3 linked regions of the Struthio camelus genome follow. The protein of the gene in region 2 interacts with the protein of the main gene of each other region in a pairwise test. Links are inferred from orthologs where the notes say so. Each region holds a gene or a part of one and is shown on either strand. Other genes may lie near its edges.

Region 1 (7,231 bases), on a different chromosome or scaffold from region 2:
AGCAATCACTCCCTGCACTTCTCCCTTGCCTAATTCTCCAGGATTTGCCCCCCAACCCCTGCCCATTCCCCCCAGTCCTCCCAGTTCCAGCACTCACTTTCCCAGCCTCCTCCCAGGCCCCCAGATCTCGCCCCCACCCCTGCCCAGTCCCCCCCAGCACTGACCCCCCCCACCCAGTCCCCACCCCAGCACACACCCCTCATCCTAGTCCCCCAGGGTCCCCTCCCAGTACTCACCCCTATCCCTTCCCAGTCCTCCCAGTGCTCCCCTCCAGCGGCCCAGTAGAGTCTCCACCCCAGTACCCCCCCCATCCCATCCCAGTGCCCCCTCCCAGGATCCCCTACCACCTCCCACTTCCCCCTCCCAGTACTGCCGACCCCTCCCAGTGCCCCCAGCACCTCCCAGTGCCCCGGCGCCCCCGCCCCACTCACGGCGGCGGGCGGCGACGGACACACCGGCTGTGGGGGCGGCCGCGGCGGAAGCGGAAGCGGAGCGGAGCGGAGCGGCCGGGAGGACTCGCGAGGAGCGAGAATCAACCCTCCCCCCGCCTAGAGCGGCCGCGCCCCTGCCACCATAGAGGGGCGCGAGGCGGAGACAGAGCGCCGCCGCGCCCCACTTCCGGGGGAGAGCCCCGAGGCCGCCGCGCTCCGCCGCCGCGTTGAGGGCGTGGGGGCCGCCGGCTCCCCCTGCCGGCGGGGGCGGCGCCATGGCCGAGCTCGGGGCCCACCTCACGGCCACCCCGGCCGGCGACGACCGGCCCTCCATCTTCGAGGCGGTGGCCCAGGACAGCCTGATGGCCGCCGTGAAGCCGGCCCTGCAGCACCTGGCCAAGGTAAGGGCCCGGCGCCTCCCGTTCCCTGGGCCCACTTTCCATGAAACGGCTCTTTTCTGTGAAATGGCTGTTCTCCATGAAACGGTGGGCGACGCACGCTTCACCCAGAGGACAGGAGATGTTGGCGGTGGTGGGTTTGGTGCGTGGCTGGAAGGGTTCATTACTGGGCAGCGTGCTGCTCCCGCGCGTAAGCAGACCTGTTGCCCTATTGCGGCGCATGGGTCCTGGCGTCGGAGGCGATGTGAGGGGCTGCTGGGCGCCCTCCCTGTGAGTCTACAGGAGCCTCTCTCCAAAAAAACAAGTCCCTTCGGTATTATGTTTCTCATTTCCCTTGTGCTCTTCAGAAACTGCTTACTGGAAGCTGTCTTCAGACTGCCTGGCAAGCGTTAACCGCCTTTCTCAACAGTGTTGTGTCGTGGGGAAGGTCCCTAGAGGAAACTCAGCAGAAGGGTTACATGGCCTGTCCAAGACGGTAGCTGAAGTGCAGGACAAGCAGTCTGCGCCTGCACAGAGGGTGCAGACTGATGCAAGCTCCCTCTGCCCTTGATTCAAGCAAGCCAGAATCAAGATGGAAAACAGAGTTGGCTTGTGTCCCGTTGACTCAAGAGAGCTCAACTGTATTCATACGCAGGGAGGCATGCCTTTAGCGAGGACAGGTAATGTAGACAGTGAATACTTGACAGTGAATGCTTTGAGGGGAAACTGCTGCACAGAGAGAACGTCGAGAGTTTGAACACCGCTCTCTCAGCTGAGCTTTTCATCACCAGGATTCACATTTGGCCACAGCTGTGAGCAAGCATAGCAGTTTTGACCCATTCAGCTCACTTTATGAACTGCAGGCATAGTTTACAGTTACTGTAATTTAGCATCTGTCTGCACCATCAGCTCCTTCCCCATTTTGTGTTTCTTTCAATAGGTGCTGGCTGAGTCGAATCCTGGCCGATATGGCTCCCTCTGGCGTTGGTTTGATGAGATCTACATCCTCCTGGATTTACTGCTCCAGCAGCAGTATCTGGCCAGGTGCAGTGCCTCTTTTTCTGAAAACTTCTATGGCTTAAAGAGGATAGCAATAGGAGACTGCAAACAATCGCTGGCCAGTGCTGGCCTGCCAAAGAAGCAGCACTGGAAGTCTCTCCTTTTGCTTGTTCTTGTTCCTTACCTGAAAGGAAAGCTAGAGAAACTGGTGTCCAGTCTGAGGGAAGAGGATGAGTACTCCATCCACCCTCCCTCATCGTCCTGGAAGCGCTTTTACAGAGCCTTTCTAGCTGCCTATCCATTTGTAAACATGGCCTGGGAGGGCTGGTTTCTTATCCAGCAACTGTGCTATATCCTCGGGAAAGCTCAGCATCATTCACCCATGCTGCAGCTGGCTGGCGTTCGCCTGGTGAGACTGACTGCAGATGATATCCAGGCCTTGGAGAAGAAATCTGCAGTAGCCGCCTCGAGTCGGACACACAGGTACATTAGAACTCTGCTTAGCAGCTACTTGCTAGGAGGTTCTGTGGGTGGGCTGACGTAGAGGCAACGCCCCTAGGTTAAGCTGTCTTGTTCTCCAGAAAGATGAAGTTTACATGTGGCAAAACCCTGCTCCAAAAGGGAATGTCATGATAGTAAGTGTAAATAAGGAACAAAGTAAGAGGCATTAGCTTCACAGGAGTTTGTGCTAATAAAATCAGAATGCTTTTTTGGCACTCCAGCCTCCGTTCCATTCAATCTTTAGCTGCCCTTTTCTATTAAGGGAAGCAGACTGTACCCATTTTGCTAAAAGGACTGAAACTTAGCCACAACTAGTCATGGTCACATTTAATGTCCTGTAAAATGATGGTCCATGAGTGAAATGTTCTGTGATCCAGGTCCCCTCAACCCAAACTCTTCTGATTTAGACCTCTGAATAAAACAGGACTTGACATTTTCCTAGAGATGCTATGCTCTTCTTAAAACACAAAGAATCTGAGAGCAACACCCTAGCAGATGTCTCATTACAAACATGGAACATGTTAACAAAATCATTTAGCATTAAGAAGCTGTATAGAGCAGTAACTTACCCCAAACCTTTTTAGCCTTGGTTTGCAGAGGGACAAATGTGCAGTACTGCTAATTTCTCCTTTCCTTCTCTCCCTGCCACAGCATTAAGGCACAAGTGCAGTCAGCAATGAAGAAAGCTTTGGGTGGCATTGCCTTCTCCCTGTCCACTGGGCTGTCTGTCAGCGTATTCTTCCTTCAGTTCCTGGAGTGGTGGTACTCCTCGGAAAACCAAGAGACGATCAAATCTCTGACAGCGCTCCCTACTCCTCCACCACCAGTACACCTTGACCATGGGGCGGACTCAGCTCTCTTACCTAAACTGAAGACCATGTGCCCGCTGTGCCGCAAAATTCGAGCCAATGCCACGGTCCTGTCCACGTCTGGCTATGTATTTTGCTACCGCTGCGTGTATAATTACGTGAAGACTCACCAACGATGCCCAGTCACAGGCTATGCCACAGAGCTACAGCACCTTGTCAAACTGTATTCCCCTGAGAGCTGAAAGGCCGGCTCTGTGCTTTCACAGAGATGCATCTGAGACTGAGTGGCAGGGCCACTGGGTAGCAACGAGCCTGAATTTGCCCTTTCTGATGTCCCCGAGAAGACCATCGACCAATACAACTTGCAAGTGGATCTCTAAAGCTCCTTTGAGTCCTACAGATTAGACTTTTGCTGCCTTGGTAAACTTCGATAAGGCTCGCCCTCTTGTTTTTTAGCCATTCAAACATCCCATGACAAAGCTCCAGAAGGGTAGGACAGTCACGATCTGTCAGTCAGCATAGAAACACCTTCAAAGGCAAACTGAATGGGAGGAGACATTGATTTGGATAATAAGAATGCAGATGTGAGAACCAAAGAGCACTGCTGGCAAAAATCCTGCTCGAGGGTATGGCCAGCAAATTGGAGAGCTACAAAAATTGTCCAGGCGAGCTATTCCACCCTTAGCCGCTTCACAGACTCTAGTACTGCCTGGGGCAGGTTCTGGCACTAGCGCTTCTTAAAGAGGTAGAGACAGACTTTGACCTCTTTTCTGACCATGGTATTCTTAAGTGCCTCCATGCATTTTCAGGCTACTCGCCTCTGAATTAATGATAACATTACACCTCTAATTCCCATCAACAGTTCTAAATTAAGGCTTTGACTCTTTAAAGGAACAAGAGATGATATGTATAATGTGTACAAACACAGATACAAGACTACCAGGGAGGAAGACAAACTAGATTAAAGCAGCAATTGTGAACTGTTTTTTTTTTTTTGTTAGATGTGTCCTCAAATCTGTTGTTATCTGCTTTTACAAAGCAAAATTCTTTCTTGATTTAGAACCCATTTGAACTAAATGAACTGCATTTGTTTCTTTTCTAATGTTTGAAAAAAGAAAGTTTGCTCCTCTAGGATCTTTATTTGCACAAAGGAGACTAGACTAAAGCTGCTCTTATCTTTGCAGATGATGGTCATAGATAAAAGATTAGTATTTTGCAGGCTGGAAAGCTGTAATATCTGTGTTTGAATTTAGTATTACATTGCTGTTATTCCAGTCCCAATCTAGACTGATCATGTAGCACATTGAACAGGGAATAGAAGGAAATGTGCATGATGTTATGGGTGGTCCTGGCTTCAGACCACTGACTGATCAGACACATGATTTTTATTGACAGAAGGTTGATTTTCTTGACTCATCTCGAGGGAGCAGCAGTTATCTGCTCCAGACATCACGGTGACATTGCCTATAGAATATGAAGCAGAGTTTGCTGCACAGAGTATACTGTCTTTCCAGATTAAGAGATATGCTCTAACATTTAATCCATAAAACCAATGATCTCATTTCCCCCCCCCCATTTTAGCCCTGCTTCAGAAAAAAAAAAATCAATAAAATTGTCCCTCATCTGTGAGCAAGATAACGAGTGTATTGAATAGGCTGGAAAAATACAGTAATTTGCATTCTCCCAAAGGTGCTCTGGGAAAAAACACACAAACAAACACACACCACACAACTTTTCTAACAAATGAGATAAGTCCCCAATGCTTATTATTTCTATACAACTGCCAGCCCCTTCTAACTCTGCCGCTATGGGATAACAACAAAAACTGTCACGTTTTTTCTTACCTCCAGTAGTTCTGGGATTGATAGAAAAGAGATACCTCTCTTCCTTTAGAAAGCTGTTAAGAGTACTTACACACAGCTTATTGGAAAAGAAATCACATTGAATGCAAGATTTTCTGAGATTTTAAATCACTTTTAATATAGCTGGCTTTGGGCTTCATATTAACTCACATCACTTGCTACATCAGTTTTGCTTCATACACTGAGATTATCATCTCTAATGAAAAGCCACTATCCAAGATGCTCCCCTGTTGCTACATGGTCTTAAAATAACCAGTCTGATTATACAGACATGGCACTGACTGTCCCATTGACTCCAGAGCAACCGCTCATTTAATAAGAGCTGCAGGATTTGACTGACTATTCAGTTTTAAGATAGGTTTGTTTTCCTTCGGTCCTTTCTATACCTTCCAGATTCTCTCTCTCTTGCTCAGTGAGAAACTGGGCAAGCAGGTAACGAGTGATCTCAGAGTTAATAACTATTTCCCTCTCCAGAGTGGCCACTGGATGGCCTCCTGTCCGGCTCTGGCTGCCTTCCACTCCATCTCTCTCCTCCCCCATGCTGTACAATGCTGAGTTCCTGCCAAACAGATTTGGCCGACTCCACCTGGGACCTGCTCAGAACCACCCACATCTAAGCTTCACAGTTTAGGACAGCTGTAATTATTCTTTTGAATGTTAAATTGCTCTTTAAAGCCTATCTGACTAATAGGCATTAAGTCCATAATGGTGACACACTTGGCAGTTACCGGGCAGATTTTATTAGTGTTCCTGCAGGTGGCTGCAGGATACCAGTTTGGATCTGACTGCTTTTGCTAACTGGCCTGTGCTTAGTAGCCAAATACCTGTTACATTAAGTTGGCTGCTCTAAACAAAGCTACAAAACCAATGCACATTACTCAAACATCCCCTTTTTCTACTTTGTACACTGCAATAGTACTGTTAAAGCCGTGATGGTATCAAGACATACAAAGAAAGACTTGTTAAGGAAATAAATACTCTTTTATTACACCAGCCTTCACATTTACATACAAATTGGGAGCGCTATACACTCATGTATCATATATACGCTCAGGAAGCTTTGATCTGTTGCTTAATACAATTACTTCAACATTAACAGTGGCACTGGAGTTACCTAATACCTCACTGTCATAACTTGATTTTTCCAGTGTTTTTTTTAAAAAATGTTTGAATGCGGCTTAGCTTCATTACAACTCGGTCACTGTTCAAAACATGAGTGCATTAACAATTGAGTTGCTTTCCCTACTTCCTTAACGGAAACTGCATAGCCTCTCTTGTTAAGAGATAACCACCATATCTATTCTCCTAGCTTGATAAGAACAAAACCCAACATAAAACATACACCTCCCCCATAGAAGCTTCCCTCTCCACACAAGTGAGAGGTGAATGTAAAGCTGTCATCGAGACCTAGAAGAAAATGAGAACAGGATTAGAGAATACCTCCATATCTTCTTCTGCACCTGCTTATTAGCCCAGTCTTTGTGGCTGGTGAAAGGGCTGCACCTTATCCCACACAACTCCATGTGTTTCGATTAGTCCCACCCCTCACTAAATGCAAACTATCTAAAGTCAAACATCCAGGTGATACTGATGGCTTTTGGAAAAAACAACCAGAACAAAACCCCCAAAATTAAAAATGCCCTCTGCATCAGCCCACAGAGTCTGGGTGCTTTTGTTTCTAGATACCTTTCCAGGTTAGGGAGTCACATGCCATCACAAGCAGCCATTTGAAAGCATAACACTGACTCTAATACTAAAGATATTTGGAGAGTTCATCAAGGCAAAAGAATCAAAATTCAACCTAACTCATTATACTATCTGCAAATTTTCTTTAGTGAAATTGTTCCTGTGCTTTCCGAGATACAAATCACTTCCTAGAGCTAGAGAATCCATTTTGTTTCACAGCATTTAGATTTTAGAAGTTACGGAAACATAGCTGTATATTGTACTACTCATGCACAACTAAAAATCTGAGTCTATAACACAGCTTAAAGAAAAAAACACCTTGCATACAACAGACAAATCATTGTGAAACAGCTGATGTGAATCATGCTGGGCTCTAGCTCACATATCGGGCTCTGTGTGACTCCTGCCTAGCCTGGTCCTCCTAGGGCATAAAGGGAAAGTGTTCCCAGTAACTTTCTCCCAGGAAACCCCAGTGCATAACATGTAATAAATACCCTCTCCTGTGAAGACTTTTGGGGAGTGCTTGATTACTGCATTTTTTCCAATACCCGAATTTTAACATCCTC
Region 2 (7,529 bases):
AATAATAGGTTTACACTGCAGCATGAAAGATTTGGTGTGAACATAAGAAAAAAAAAATCTGGATGCCTAAAGCCAGAGAGATTGAGCTCTTGAATCTGCGACCAACCCTAGGATACTTTCACCCACCCCAAGTATTTTTCTGTGTTTTTTTTTTTTTTTTTTTTGTAGAACTAGGTTCAGGAGACAGAAAGTATGCACATAATCATTTGAATGAGTTTTTTACTTTTTCACCACGCTATTTTCTTCAGTTCTTGTACTAGGCTAAGGATCCTGTTCACAGCTGTTGTCAACAAAACAATAGCACAGAATGTTAAAAGGGATCCCTATCAATAATAAATGTCTTATTCATGATACAGTTATGGTTCTGGCCTCTATTTACTACACGGAAAGGCAGACAGCTTTACATTTCACATATTACAGAATCATTTGTCATTTTGTACTGAGGTTCTAATCAGGGATGCGTTCCATATAAAATTGCCACGTGTGCTCTGTCTTTCAGAGAAATTAGCAAGTAACGTGGAATGATCTCTTGAGAGATGCAGATACTTTGCCTTTATCTTTCCGTTAATTTGCCCAATGGTTAGCAAAGGCAATGCAACCTTGCTATTATGTGTGTTATTATCTGTGAAAGTACAATTTACAACAAGAGGAGAACAAGTTCAAGTTTGCAGTGAAGACTCAATTCCACATCAACAAAGTAGGGAACCTGTCTTTATCACTTCCTTTGGACAGATATTAAGTGGATTGGTCCATGAGGCCCATGAAGGCTTTGGGAAAAGTGCACCTTACAGTATCAAAGCAGAACAGTTTTCCAGGACTAATTATTTACATCAAGAGATGAAAAATCTGAATAAAATTTGATATAGACATTACTGATTTTATAAAATAGGCAAAGTATCCCACACTATAACAGCATACTTTGAAGCATTTGTTATGGAACAAAGTGAGGGAACATGAATGTCACTGAAGGCGTACAGTAAAACATAAATTGTTACATTTATTTCACACAGAGAGACTGGTACCTTAATAAAAATTTAGAGATCTGGCTCAGTTCATGACAAATGATGTACTTTCTGTATATAAAAAAGCAACAGTGAGGGTCACATTGTCCAAAGGTATGTGGAGTTGTTCTGTCCTCTATCACATTAATTTTGCATAAATACATTTTTAAAATATTTTAAAAACCACCTCATATGTAGCCTGCCTTTATAGCAATCTCTGTACCTTACACACAAAACGCACACACAAGACTCACCTCAGAATTTCTTTCCTTGTAAAGAATGTGCAGTCCTGTGAAATAAGAGAAAAGATAATATGCAATGATAGTTTTAAATGCATTGGCCCAAACTTTTCCACTACAGTGACTTAAACACTCATATTGTAATGCAAGTGGCCAAGCATTAATGTTCTTTTCTTGGCATTATAATAATGATTATTTCATAACCCTTCTTCCTCTTGAGGCAAAATTAAACTATGTTACTTAAACCTTTGATGTAACAATACCCACACTTAACAATTTTTGAAAAGATTGTTTTAAAAACACATCCTTATTCAATGTGCTGTCTAAATAGCCATTTAGTTTGGCATTGTTTTATACCTGATATGCATCCAGTTGCTCTGGAGTGAAAATGGTTTGCTTGTTGCCCATTTCTGGCTCTGAAGGCTGGTTCTTGTCCCATCATTCTTTCCTCAAAGTTACCTTTATAGGAGGTCTGGATATTCAGACATTAAAAGCTGCAACAATGAGGTTCAGGTAGCAGAGGATCAAGTAACCAGCTTCCCTATTGCATGGGCTACAAAGAATCATAATAGGAGCATTTCATCTAATCTTTAGTTTGGCTACTTAAGGCTCTTACCCAGCATCACTCACCTGTCTCCTGTGTGCACAACAAAGACTCATATTACAGTATTTGGACAAACAACTAATAGCTTCTTGGTCGTGTCTTTGAAATGGTAAGTAGACCTTGTAGATTGCTTTTTTTTGTTTTTTTTTCATTCTTTCAAATATTTTAAAAGACCTAAAAACTGTTTGGAATGTCTGTCTTCTCTAAGAATTAGCATTAAATACTAGAAGTAAGTAATAATGAAAGTAACCCCCCCACCCCCGTCCTTTCTTTCTGAATTTTCTCTATAATATTTACTGTACACTGCCCACAGACAGCACATGGCAGTTTGTACTGGAGATAGTATCTATAAAGCCCAATCACTCTATTCTGCATTATCTAGTAATATACATTATCACTATTTAATGGTTATTAGTGTGGCATGCATACATATAGACATATGTGGTTTTTACACTAAAATACATGTCAATATATGATTTGTCTATAAAAACCGATATGTGATGTTAAAGGTTACATGAAATATGAAACTTAAGGGTCGAGGGAATAACTGACTGCATTTCTATGGCACGTAGCAGGCTGCATAATAATACATGTTCAGGGGGCAAGGCGTAAAACCTTCCTTCTCGGCCGTTCATCCAGTAAATTGGCAGCTTTAGCAGCAAACGAAGCCCTGACGCCTGGTTTGGAGGATGCATCTGTGAGGTGGAGACCCCGGAAAGGCAAAACTATCCTCCCGCCTCGGGGGAGGAGAAACGCCGGCCTCTCACTCACCGCCCCGCCTTGAAATCAGTAAAAATTATTCAGAATCGGTCCGTTGGGTGTGGAAAATAGGCGGCGGCGGGAGGAGGTTTCCTCAGCGGCGCTTCTGCGCGGCGCCCTCGGGGCGGCTCCTAACGGTTTTCTCCTCACAGAAAAAGGGGGAGTCGCTCCTGGCGCCCGGCCTCCCGCGCGGCCGTTGCCGGGGCAACGTTGCGGCGGCCGCCAGGGGGCGCCGCAGTGCGGGAGCGGCGGCGGCGGCGCTGCGCGGGCCATGGCGGACTACGAGGCGGTGCAGCGCGGGCCGCTGCGGCTGAAGGGCAGCGGCGGCGCCCTGGGCGCCGGCAAGCGGTGAGGGGCGGCGGAGGAGGAGGAGGGGGCCGGGGTTGGGGGGAGGCTCGGCGCTGACCGCCTTGTGCCCGCAGGAAGAAGAAGAAGGCGAAGGCGAAGGGCCAGATCCTGGAGCAGATCGTGAGCAGCAAGAAGCAGGAGGAGGAGAAGAAGCGCGGCCTGGACAAGCGGACGCCGGCGCAAGTGGCCTACGAGAAGATGCAGGAGAAGCGGGTAGGGCGACCCGGGCCGGGGTTAAATCCGGCCCGGCGGCTCGGGCTGGGGCTTGAAAGGCCCAAACGGGCCCCCCGAGGCAGCCCCTGAGGGGGCGACGAGCGCGGGGAAGTAACCGCCTCTCCTGTGTCCCCCCCCCCCCACAGCAAATGGAGAGGATCCTGAAGAAAGCGTCTAAAACCCATAAACAGCGAGTGGAGGTGAGAACTAAATTCACTCCTTACTGCGACCAGCGTGTGTTTGTCAGCACAGAGGATGGCGCGGGCCCGGAGGAGCCCTTTTGCCTCTGTGAAGCCCCCAAGGTGGGAGGCAGCGGGGCCCTGGCGCGCCTCGGCGTTAGCGAAATCATCAGACGTTTCATGTTTTCGCTCTCTTCCTCTCCCCTAGGACTTTAACAGGCACTTGGATACTCTGACGGAGCACTACGACATTCCTAAAGTCAGCTGGACGAAGTGAAGGGGCGGTTTTCTTACAAGGCTTTGGAGTTGTGTTTGTATCGAACAGGGGTCGCTATGTAAATCCGTGTATTCTCGGTATTGAATGTTTAATATATCTTCTGAACGTTTGTGACCTTGCGCTGTCTTATTTCACTGTTTTTGTCTTTTACACCAAGTAGTCAACTAAGCCTCCTCTTCGCTAGTGAAAGCTCTGGTTTATATAGGTGCAGTGGGCTGTTTTCTTAGAGCTCGAAGCATGGCTGAGTCCAAAAGCAATTGGTAGGAGCCAGCTGGAAAATGTTTCTATATTAGTTTGATACTAACTGTTCTCCTTCTTGGAACGGAAGAATCTCGGACAGTCTCTTCACTTAGCTTTGCTTGTAAATTATAGGAATGGTATCAGTTGTTTGCACCTAGAGTTCTTTCAGAGCTCAGGGTGGGTTCTGCTGTATTTTAAAATCCTCTTGTAACTCTGATGTAACTTCTCATTAAAATGCTTTTTTTTTTTTTTTTTTTGGTGTTTGGTGACCTGTACAAAGAGGTAAGGGCAGCACAGTGATAAAACAGGTGTTTGCATGGGGCCTTTTTCCTGCGATTTCTATCTTTTGTGCACAATTCCGACTCTCTTCCGAGGGATGATGTTCAAAACTCCAACCTGCCTCTTAAAAACGAGGTTGGCCTGCCACGGCTGGGTTGGCCACCAGCTTCCACCCCGTGGCCTGCAGCCCCTCACCTGGGTGTTACTCCTGCCCAACCCAACCCCCGGGGCCATCTACTGAGCGGCGGACCCATTTCCAGAGAGGTCTGAACCCAGCCACCCCCAGGGCCCTATTTAGGCGACGCGCGGGCAGCGCGGTGTCCTTCCGCCGCGGCGGCCGGGCGCTGCGCTCGTATCCCTCCTCGCGGCGGCCGGGCCTCGTTGCGCCGCTTCCTGCCGGAAGTGCCGGCGCGGGAGGCGGAAGTCGGTCGGTCGGTCCGGAGACGGGGCGGCCCGGGCGGCGGCGGCGCGATGTCGGCCAGCGCCGTCTACGTGCTGGACCTCAAGGGGAAGGTGAGGCCCGGGGCCAGCCGAGGGTTAGACGGGGTGGGAAGGCCTGCGGGGTCCTTCCCCGCGCCGCTGAGGGGGCCTGCGGGGCGCCGCCGGCCTCGGCCCGGCTGCTGCTGGGGCCTGTGGGGGCCGCGGGCCCCTCAGCGCCGGTTTCACTGCTGGGCTGCGAGGGGGGCAGTGGTGGCTTGGGTCTGTCCTGGGCCGTTAGAGACGCTGGGGGGGGGGAGGTTTGCGGCTGTCCCACCTGCCAGCTGGGCTCCTGGGCATCCCGTCTGGGGTAATCACGCTCTGCTGTAACTGGAGGTCGTTTATCTCCTCCGATTTAGGTGCTTTCCCCATCTTAAAAGCTGTTACCAGGGTGTGTGCTGCCATAGGGGGAGAGTGAGTCTAGAAAACATTAATGCATGACTTCTCAATGGAAAACTAGTGCTTGCACTGTAGTCCACAAAGTATTTTGGAGTTGTACCTTGCACGTATAGTCTGCAGAGTGGCTAGGGTGAAACCAACTGATGTCTCTCAAGTTACTTAAAGAGGCTTTCCGAGGATTCGTTTGTGTTGCTTCTGGATGGTAGCATCACCTGTAGAAAGAGAAAAAGATTAAAGGCTTTGTTGTTCTTTGTGTAGGTTCTCATCTGTCGAAATTACCGCGGCGATGTGGACATGTCAGAGGTGGAGCATTTTATGCCAATCCTTATGGAGAAGGAAGAAGAGGGGACGCTTTCTCCTATTCTAGCACACGGAGGAGTTCGTTTTATGTGGATTAAACATAACAACCTATATCGTATCCTTTATATTGCAAGTCATTTACATACGCTGATGTTAATTGCTGATATGTTATTTTCACAGTTTATATCTACATGCAAAGCTAGAGAATAGGTGAAGTTGTATAAGGAAGACTTTATTAAATAAAATGGCTTTATGGCTTAGATAGTGTAGTGTGCACTAGTAGCACAGTGCATAGGAAAGTATTTATATTAATTTTACTCTAATAAACTAAGTCTGAATCTTCTCATCTAACGTGACGAGAGATACTGTTAACTAAATCTTAATGTTTTGGCCAACTGTAATTGCCATACCATAACTTTGAAAATGCACTTGGTAAAAAAATCTTTCGAATGGTAATTTTGAATGCATATTCCTGAACATCCTTTATCAGTTGTTGCAACTTCTAAGAAAAATGCTTGTGTATCACTGGTGTTTTCATTTCTGTATAAAGTAGTTCAGGTGAGTATGAAATTTTAAAACTAACTTCTGCCTATTTTCAATTAAATCTAAATCTGATCTAAATAAAAGTGCGTAGAACTTTCACTCTTTTAAAAAGAGCACTGTGGTAATAGCACTTTTAATTTGTTTTTGGTTATATTATAGAAATGTCTTTCTAATGGCTAATAATAGAACGGGTAGCTGAGTAGGCAAAGGATGTGACACAATGTTGTGAGTAGTCGCGTAAGACCTGAGAACACAGAGGAGGATTAGGAATTTGGTGCGTGCATAGTGTCATAAAATGCAGGTTTTATGTTTGGTTTATCTGTACTTGGCGTGAAAAATACTTTCACTGGAATAAGTATTTTTCATAATAGTCAGAGGTATGCCTAAGATGCTGTAGCTCCCTTTTAAATGAGGTGTGTTTTAGCAAGTATGCATTGTGAATATGCTGTTGTTCCTCAATTAATACCCTCCTCCTTCACTTCCTTTCTCTGACTGTTGTTTCAGGTTTTTTCTGAATATTTTAAGGAGCTGGAAGAAGAGAGCATTCGGGATAATTTTGTTATTATTTATGAGTTATTAGATGAACTTATGGATTTTGGTTATCCACAAACCACTGATAGTAAAATTTTACAAGAGTAAGTAACAGTCTGCCTCACTTTCAGTGACAGATTTCTTAGGTAGCTTTGAGTATTCTGCAACATACAAACCAATGTTTTGGCTTGATCTATTCGCTAAAAAATCAAATACTTCCTAAGATTTAGGTTTGTAGCTTCAAACTTCTTTTATGTAAATCTGACGTTAAAGATGCTTCAAAAGCTGTAAAGTGTAATTTTCATGTTTTCTATCTCCATTATGTGTTTGTAAAGGTATATCACTCAGGAAGGTCACAAACTTGAAACTGGAGCTCCCCGTCCACCTGCCACTGTTACTAATGCTGTTTCATGGAGATCAGAAGGGATAAAATATAGGAAAAATGAGGTGTTCCTGGATGTTATAGAATCTGTTAACCTTCTGGTGGGTACCTTTTTCTTGAACTTTTACTGAGAGTTGTAGTAGTAAGTGTTATAAAGAGCTTACAAGGCCTGCAAGGGTACAATAGAGAGTCAAACTAACTGTGGCTGGGTGCACTGTGATGCTTAAAACAATCTGTGTGTCTTAAGACTGAGTATGCATAAAAGCACCCAGTAGATGAATAGTACTTTACTTGGATGTATCTTGTTTCTGACCAGTCTGAGGCTAGCCTCTGACATGTTCTTTGCTCCTTCTCCTTCCATCTGTCCTCATCACCTCCCTGATTCTACTCCATGACTTCTCAGGAGAAAGAAATCCAAGAAAATTGGGATGGCTGGCGGAGTGTTGTTTGATCTCGTGACATATGACATCAGGGCATTCTGACCTTTCTTTTCCTTGCTCCTCAGGTCAGTGCCAATGGAAATGTATTACGGAGTGAGATTGTTGGATCCATTAAAATGAGAGTCTTTCTCTCAGGAATGCCAGAGCTTCGCCTTGGTTTAAATGACAAAGTTCTCTTTGATAATACAGGCCGTGAGTATTTCAATGATACCTCTGTAATCATCGAGAATGTTGTCTGAATTCTTAGACTTTGAAATGCTTGAGGGTCAGGTGAAAGGATTTGTTCTTAGAAGATAAACTGCTCCCTTTGCCAGTGTA
Region 3 (6,828 bases), on a different chromosome or scaffold from region 2:
GGTGCATCCTTGACAAATGAACTGTACGAAAAATGCCATACCACCTAGCAAAAGCAGTAGCTATACTTGAACAACTTTTTTTCTTTTCTTAGAGCAAGAGCCACAGAGTTTCAGTAGTCTGTCTTCCCCAAAATGCCTAGAAATCAGTTGTCTCTTAGCTAAGATACTGTTAAAAACTGTATGAACTTGTTTGGAAGCTTGATTCCTTATAGAAATAAGTCAATTTTCTAAAGTTAAGATACAATCCTACTAGCTGTACAGTTACAACCTCCCTTAACGTGCTGGCACAAAAACACTATCCTGAATGCCACAGGCTTGTTTGGAGGCTTCAAAGGAAGTCTTTGATCTATTTTCAGCCTATAAATTGTTCTTGTGGAATCTCATCTTATTTTTGGAATGTTCATGTATGTGCTTGTTGCATGGCCAATTGAGCGGTCTGACTGTAGAGTATTTCTTGTCGTTTGGCTGATCCAGGTACCTGTCTTTAGCATGAGTACAACAGCAGGGCCCTGGCTGTTCCGTCCTAGGACAATAAAATCAGCTCCTTGGGGAAAACCAGCTACCACTCTCTGGTTATCCCCTCCTGATAGTGCCTACAGCAGCACTGATAAACTTTGGAATGGAGAACATCAGTGGAATAAATAAAGAAAAAGGAGAATCTTCAGGGAAATTTTGTGGTTATAAAGTTATTCTTACTGACTTTATATTGGAAAATACATCAACTCCCAAATCAAACTGTAAAAAGAAAATCAATGTTAAAGCAATTATGAGCACAACCCCTGAGTGGCAAATGCATCTCTTTAAGTATAGTACATGTGATGTTGGTGAGTTTCCAGCTATTTCTTTGTTTTCCTCTGTTCAGTTTTGCATTAAATTAAATTTCTGAATCACATACAGCTACCAATGAACTGCAGAAAGTAATCCGTCCGATTAGTTTCATTTAAAGCCTGTTTTCATCCAGGACTAAATTCAGTAGATATACTTTAGGTAATATGAGAAATTAAACACAGTACATTGTATGGGCATTCTTTAAAATCTAGTTTAAAACAGCTGGTAGGAATTAAATGCTGGCTTTCCATCACTAAACCCAGCTCTCAATTCTGACAGCATAGACTGAACAATTCTTATCTAGATTTATATAATAATACACCTTAATACCAAGACAAAATCAGCAGTATTATTGGAGGATGGGAGTTATTATGGCCCTTTATATTGCTTCCATCACTAAACACAAACTTTGTACAAAGATTCCAAAGAGAATGTATCCATTATTCACTACATGCTTAAGTTCGGAGAAGAATGATCTAGGACGGCACATTTGTGCTTAAACTTCAGTTAAAACAAAAAAATTGCCTGTCAACAATGAAATGGAATGTTTAATTCTCAGTATTAAACCATAGCTCCTTCCCATCCTGTATCAGAAAGTATTTTTTCCTCATCCTATTACTTAGGATAAAGCTCTGTGAATCCGCTTTCCCTTACTTATTAAAACTCTGAGATGAAGTCACTGAAACTGATGACAGAAGTTACCTCTTTGCCTGGTCTACCACTTTGACTTACTACTTCCTTCACTATACCACTTAATGACACACCCAATGTTGGATTAAACCCCAATTTTCCCAAGATGCAAAAGCAATTGCACCTTTAAACTAATGACACTGATAAGCGTGTTAACAGCCTGCTCAGAGAACCCAGGAGTGCCGTCACTGGGCAAACAATGCAACACGTGCTTCCCTTACACCTCTTACACACGTTTATGGTGCTGCTGACACAACACTCCCACAGACATCTGCAGAGCTAAATGCAAAACACGTCATTACTCTTATTTTGGCTTAACTCTTGCATGTTCTGCTATAGCATTTGCCTTCTAGCTCAGGTGCTTCCCCCCACCCCCTTCTCTTTATCTACCAGTTGGACAAAACTCAACCTTGGGAGATGGTATCAGGGATGTCTGCTGGTTTCATCCAAGGGATTCAGAACAAACAGAGCAGCTTCTGGCACAACTCTCTCAGACCATTTTTAAAGCTTTTACCTACCTTGTTAGAGGCTTGAAGCTTGATTCAGCTCTAAGACTTTGTTCTCATGGCCAGTATAGCAACATCGCTATGCTTTGGGAGCAACTCCTAAACCATCTGTTTCCTAATTCAGTTATTCTCAACATTAAAAGAATCCTAAACATAATCTTGCTCTAAATTTCATATCGAAAATCTAGACAGTTTATGAAAGTAAGGGAAAAACCTGAAAGTGGATACAAAGATTTATCCCATCTGTCCATTTTTATGTATTTCACACATATCAGTGGATGGAGGGCTATTCCAAAAAGTCATTTCCCCTCTGCCAACGCGTAAGTGGGATCCCATCTGGATATACAGAAACATCAATCTCTTTTTACACAAATAGAATAATTTATTAACATGTATTTCATTACAACAGTGCTTGTTGTATATTCATCTGGTGCTGCATTTCTACACGCGGAGTCCTCGCTGAATGATTCCTGGCTCTACACAATCAGGAAAACACAAAGGAGAGTGCCAAACTCATTCAGAGAAATTGATTGGAAGAACGTGTGTGTCAGGTATTTAGAACGCAGGGAAAGGACTTCACGGGATTCAGGCCTTCCTTACATATAGATGTAGCTCCCGCAGAAGAACATTACATAAAGTACTTTAAGCATTGCAGGAAGAAGCTGTAATAACTTAAAATAAAGGCATGATTTTTGGCCATAGATATAATGCCTCAGCACATGCTCAGACCACAAATACTGTGGCAAAAACAAACTTTTCTTGAGTACAAATTCTTACAAAATTTCCTACTAGAAATTTGTTACCCTTTCCCCTGAAACCCATTAACTTGCCAATATAAAGAAAAAGATGCTGGACTGGGGAACGTCACTGTGCTGCTCCAGTGCGATCGCCTCTCTGTGCGTTCTCAAGGCGTTAGACCGCACCTGCTCCGTGAAACGCCTTAGGCAGCGAACGACCGGCGCTGCGGGCCCTGCTGCTGCCGCGGGCCAGCGCTCCCGCCCCGCGCTCCCGCCCCGCGCTCCCGCCCCGCAGCCGCCCTTTCCAGCCGCTGACGAGGCTCCAGCGCTGCCCGCGGCCACTCGCTCCTCGGCGGCGCCCTCCCCGCGGCCTCCGAGGCACCGCCGCCGCCGCCGGGCTCCGCTGCCCCCCGAGCCCCCAGCCCCCAGCCCCCAGCCCCCCCGCCGCCGCCGGGCTCCGCCGCCCCCCGAGCCCCCAGCCCCCCGCCGCCGCCGCAACCGCCGCCGGGCTCCGCTGCCCCCCGAGCCCCTCCCGCCGCCGCCGCCGCCGCCGGGCTCCGCTGCCCCCCGAGCCCCCAGCCCCCCCGCCGCCGCCGGGCTCCGCCGCCCCCCGAGCCCCTCCCGCCGCCGGGCTCCGCTGCCCCCCGAGCCCCTCCCGCCGCCGCCGCCGCCGCCGGGCTCCGCTGCCCCCCGAGCCCCCAGCCCCCCGCCGCCGCCGCAACCGCCGCCGGGCTCCGCTGCCCCCCGAGCCCCCCCGCCGCCGCAACCGCCGCCGGGCTCCGCTGCCCCCTGAGCCCCGAGCCCCCAGCCCCCCGCCGCCGCCGCCGGGCTCCGCTGCCCCCCGCCGCCGCCGCCGCCGCCGCCGCCGGGCTCCGCTGCTCCCCGAGCCCCTCCCACCGCGGCCGCCGCCGCCGCCGGGCTCCGCTGCCCCCCGCCGCCTCTTCCCGGCTGCCCCTGGGCTCGGGCTCGGGCAGGAAGGGGCGGGGCCGCCCGCCGCGGGACCCGGATGCGGAAGCGCTGGCAGGGAGGCGGTTTCCGGTGTGGGCCGGGCAGCGGCGGCGGTGGTGGTGGCGGCGGCGGCGGCGGCGGGGAAGCTGCGGCGGTGGCGCCGCGCCTGGAGCCGGGCCGCACCCGCTATGCGAGGGACGCTGAGGCCCCCAGGTGAGAGGTCGCCGCCGGGGGCCGCGCTGCCGCCGCCCCGGCTCCGCGGGCCCGCTCTGGGGCGGCGCGCGAGGCCTGGCCGCCCCCGCCCCCCGGCGAGCCCCGAGCGCGGCCCCGGCGCGGCCCCGCCCCGCCGCCGTCGCCGGGCCCGGGAACCGCGCGGCGCGGGGACGGCGGCGGCGGCGGCGGCGGCGGCGGCGGGGGCCGGGCCGGGCGGGGCGGGGCCGTCGGCGGCCGCGGGGCCTGCGGAGCCGGCGGAGGCCGGTCCCGCCGCCGCTGGTGCGGATGAGCCGCGGGCGGCTGCCGCGGCTGGGGTAAAACAATCGCGTCTTTCAGGAGGCTTTATGTACGACGGCCTCGAGGAACCGCGTGCTGCGCTTTTGAAAGTGACTTTGTTTTTAAGCCAGTAACGTTTGCTTTGCGTGTTTCATCTGAGCGTTCCAGCCTGGAGACTAAAAACTTGTTGTGGGTTAAAATAGAAAAACTTTGCTCTCTATGACGTGGGTAGAGAAAAAGCAGAAACAGAACAGGTTGTAAAAGGAGGAAGTAAAACCTCTGCAGAAGGAAAAACCCAAATATTCTTGAAATGTATAGTTAAAAATATCTTATGTGTGTTTAGATGGCTTTGCTTTTCATGTTAGTTCGGTATATATAATATCAGCTCTGCTCCCTAATGGAATTGTTTCAATGGTGAATAAATATGTTTTCCAAGCTATATTTGCTTCTTGGACTAAGCTGTGTCCTTTTTGAAGGATGGCAGTTCAGGCTAGCAATTGTTAGGTGTGCAGGCATGCCTATTTAAATTTCAATTGAATGTATCATAAAAGGGTATCTTTGTTGTAGGCAAGCATTGTAGAATAGATGCTTATGTCTGGGAATATTCTGAAAGGAGATAAAGAATTTACACATCTGCATATAAATGCTGCTTTTAAAAAAATATTTTGTAATGATCATTGTATTAGATAACGATTTATTATGTTGAAGAAATGTACTTCAATAATTTTGTCCACTTGTTTTAAGCAAAGTGGAAAAAATATGTAACACTAGTGCTGACAGTATTCTGTTACTCAGTGATAAATATAAGCAGCTGATCTGGTTTCTTGAAGTGGGTTGGTATTACAGGTATATAGAAGGACTGATGCTTTGAGGAAAGACTGAGGAGTGTTGAAAATGAAAAATTAAACTAACTGGTAAAACAGTAAATTTCAAAGTGCAAATACTCTTTATTGCTATTACATAGGTCATGATTTTGAGAAGATCAGTTTAACTGCAAATGCTTCAGAGAGCTTCCTTTCCAAGAAAGTCATTTAAAAGCTGCTATTTCTAATATTCTGTTAGATTTACTAAATCAAGACTTATTCAGATTGCAGAACAGCTTATGTTCCCCATCAGACAAATTGTTCTCAGACTAGCTAAAAAATAGCGAAATTATAAGTATAGTAATATTCAGTACAAATTCCACATTTGCACCTGAGGTATGACAGTTTGTCATACTTTACTTCTGGTGAATTGCTTACTGTCCCTAGACTCTTTTCCCTTTTAATTTAAAAGGGGGAAAATATGCTGATTTCAATTTTGCACCTTCATGTTGAGATTTTTCAGATACTTTTGGGAATGCATCTCAAGCAGTTTGTTCAAGGATGTGCATAATCGTTTCTAGCTTGATGCTTTGAGGAAAGACTGAGGAGTGTTGAAAATGAAAAGTTAAACTAACTGGTAAAACAGTAAATTTCAAAGTGCATAATCGCTCCTGAGCCATCTATATTTTGTATGCAAACATTGCTGTCGTCTTCTTAGCAGCCATGCATTTGTGCCAAATTCTGGCATCTTAACACAGTGCACCAGTCAGCACATTTTTCTATTGACAGTTATGTAACTGTGTAGAAAGTACTGTGGTTATTTTGCACGTTATCTGTAGCGAGGATTCATAATCATGTTTTCTACATTTCATTTCTCCATAGAACTACTTCAGTTGGAGTCCTGCAACTGTTTGTAATTCAGTGTCTATTTTTGCACCATATTCAAAAAGTGCTTAAAATTCTGTGTGTGCTGTCTGCTAGCTTCCTAAATATTGTCTCTAAGGTGCACAGCCCTATCTATTAAAATTTTGACACTTCCCTACTGATGAGAAACAGAATTTGACAGGGGAAAGCTGCTTGTTATTTCATGGCTTTCAGAGTTCTATTGTATTCAATTTAAACATGATGTAGTTGAAAAATTGCACAAATTTAACTTATTCAGGGAGTTAATCTTGGTCTTTCATGACTGGTCATTATTTCTCATGTTTAAAAACATGTAAATTTATCTTAAACTTCAAATTTAAGGCAGAAATTTTGAACAGTTTTATTACTTAAGATGACATCAACTTTGTGGTAAGACATCTGGATCATGTGGGAATACAAACATTAAAATCTGAGCTATTAGCTGAGCTTCTAGCCTCTAATTTTGTTGCATTGTCACACATATACAAGGTACATATGCAAAAAATTCTGTACAGCTCAGGTATCGCTTTCCTGTTTACATAATTTAAAATGTTAAATTAAGGAATCTTGTAATAACATCTGAAAAAGCTCAGAAAGAAAGGATTGGATTGTAGTGTTGCAACTGCACAGGATGTTGCTCTTTCAACTTTCATCTAATAAAATGACAGGGAAATACCCCTGGAAGAGTCATAAGCCTCATTCTCACTAGGACTCTATGCCGCCTTTGTTGTTGAATGAATCAATATGATGACTTTTGAAAACTTTGTTTAAGGTGGAACATTTCATAAGAGTACAGTCAGTCTTTATTGGGGGATTAATGAGATTATTTGTTTGGCAGTTGAAATGCAGAATCTTTCATACACCTTTACAAACTCTAGGACATCCTGCAGTTAACTCTACTGCTAAAGTTTCATCAAATAATTG

What was found.
Region 1: the proteins of AP1M1 (region 2) and AP2B1 interact in binary tests that used the Homo sapiens proteins (3 or more experiments, as listed by UniProt). The link is inferred for Struthio camelus from reciprocal best matches to the Homo sapiens genes AP1M1 and AP2B1.
Region 3: the proteins of AP1M1 (region 2) and ZBTB43 interact in binary tests that used the Homo sapiens proteins (3 or more experiments, as listed by UniProt). The two-hybrid records come from large-scale screens. The link is inferred for Struthio camelus from reciprocal best matches to the Homo sapiens genes AP1M1 and ZBTB43.

The regions. Positions count from the first base shown.
Region 1 is NC_090957.1:14,847,903-14,855,133, forward strand, and holds the start of AP2B1 (AP-2 complex subunit beta), read right to left. Parts: upstream 2,960-7,231; 5' UTR 2,878-2,959; intron 2,291-2,877; coding exon of another isoform or gene 1,749-2,290; intron 833-1,748; coding exon of another isoform or gene 707-832; exon of another isoform or gene 399-706; intron 372-398; exon of another isoform or gene 237-371; intron 1-236. Other genes in the region: PEX12 (peroxisome assembly protein 12), read left to right, coding at 707-832, 1,749-2,290, 2,960-3,359. UniProt on the Homo sapiens protein: Component of the adaptor protein complex 2 (AP-2). Adaptor protein complexes function in protein transport via transport vesicles in different membrane traffic pathways.
Region 2 is NC_090967.1:5,185,862-5,193,390, forward strand, and holds the start of AP1M1 (AP-1 complex subunit mu-1), read left to right. Parts: upstream 1-4,507; 5' UTR 4,508-4,610; coding exon 4,611-4,652; intron 4,653-5,273; coding exon 5,274-5,430; intron 5,431-5,805; coding exon 5,806-5,873; intron 5,874-6,362; coding exon 6,363-6,493; intron 6,494-6,724; coding exon 6,725-6,872; intron 6,873-7,276; coding exon 7,277-7,403; intron 7,404-7,529. Other genes in the region: CIB3 (calcium and integrin-binding family member 3), read right to left, coding at 1,256-1,290, 1,598-1,648; protein FAM32A, read left to right, coding at 2,875-2,951, 3,026-3,164, 3,311-3,364, 3,552-3,620. UniProt on the Homo sapiens protein: Subunit of clathrin-associated adaptor protein complex 1 that plays a role in protein sorting in the trans-Golgi network (TGN) and endosomes.
Region 3 is NC_090961.1:395,235-402,062, reverse strand, and holds the start of ZBTB43 (zinc finger and BTB domain-containing protein 43), read left to right. Parts: upstream 1-3,813; 5' UTR 3,814-3,922; intron 3,923-6,828. UniProt on the Homo sapiens protein: May be involved in transcriptional regulation.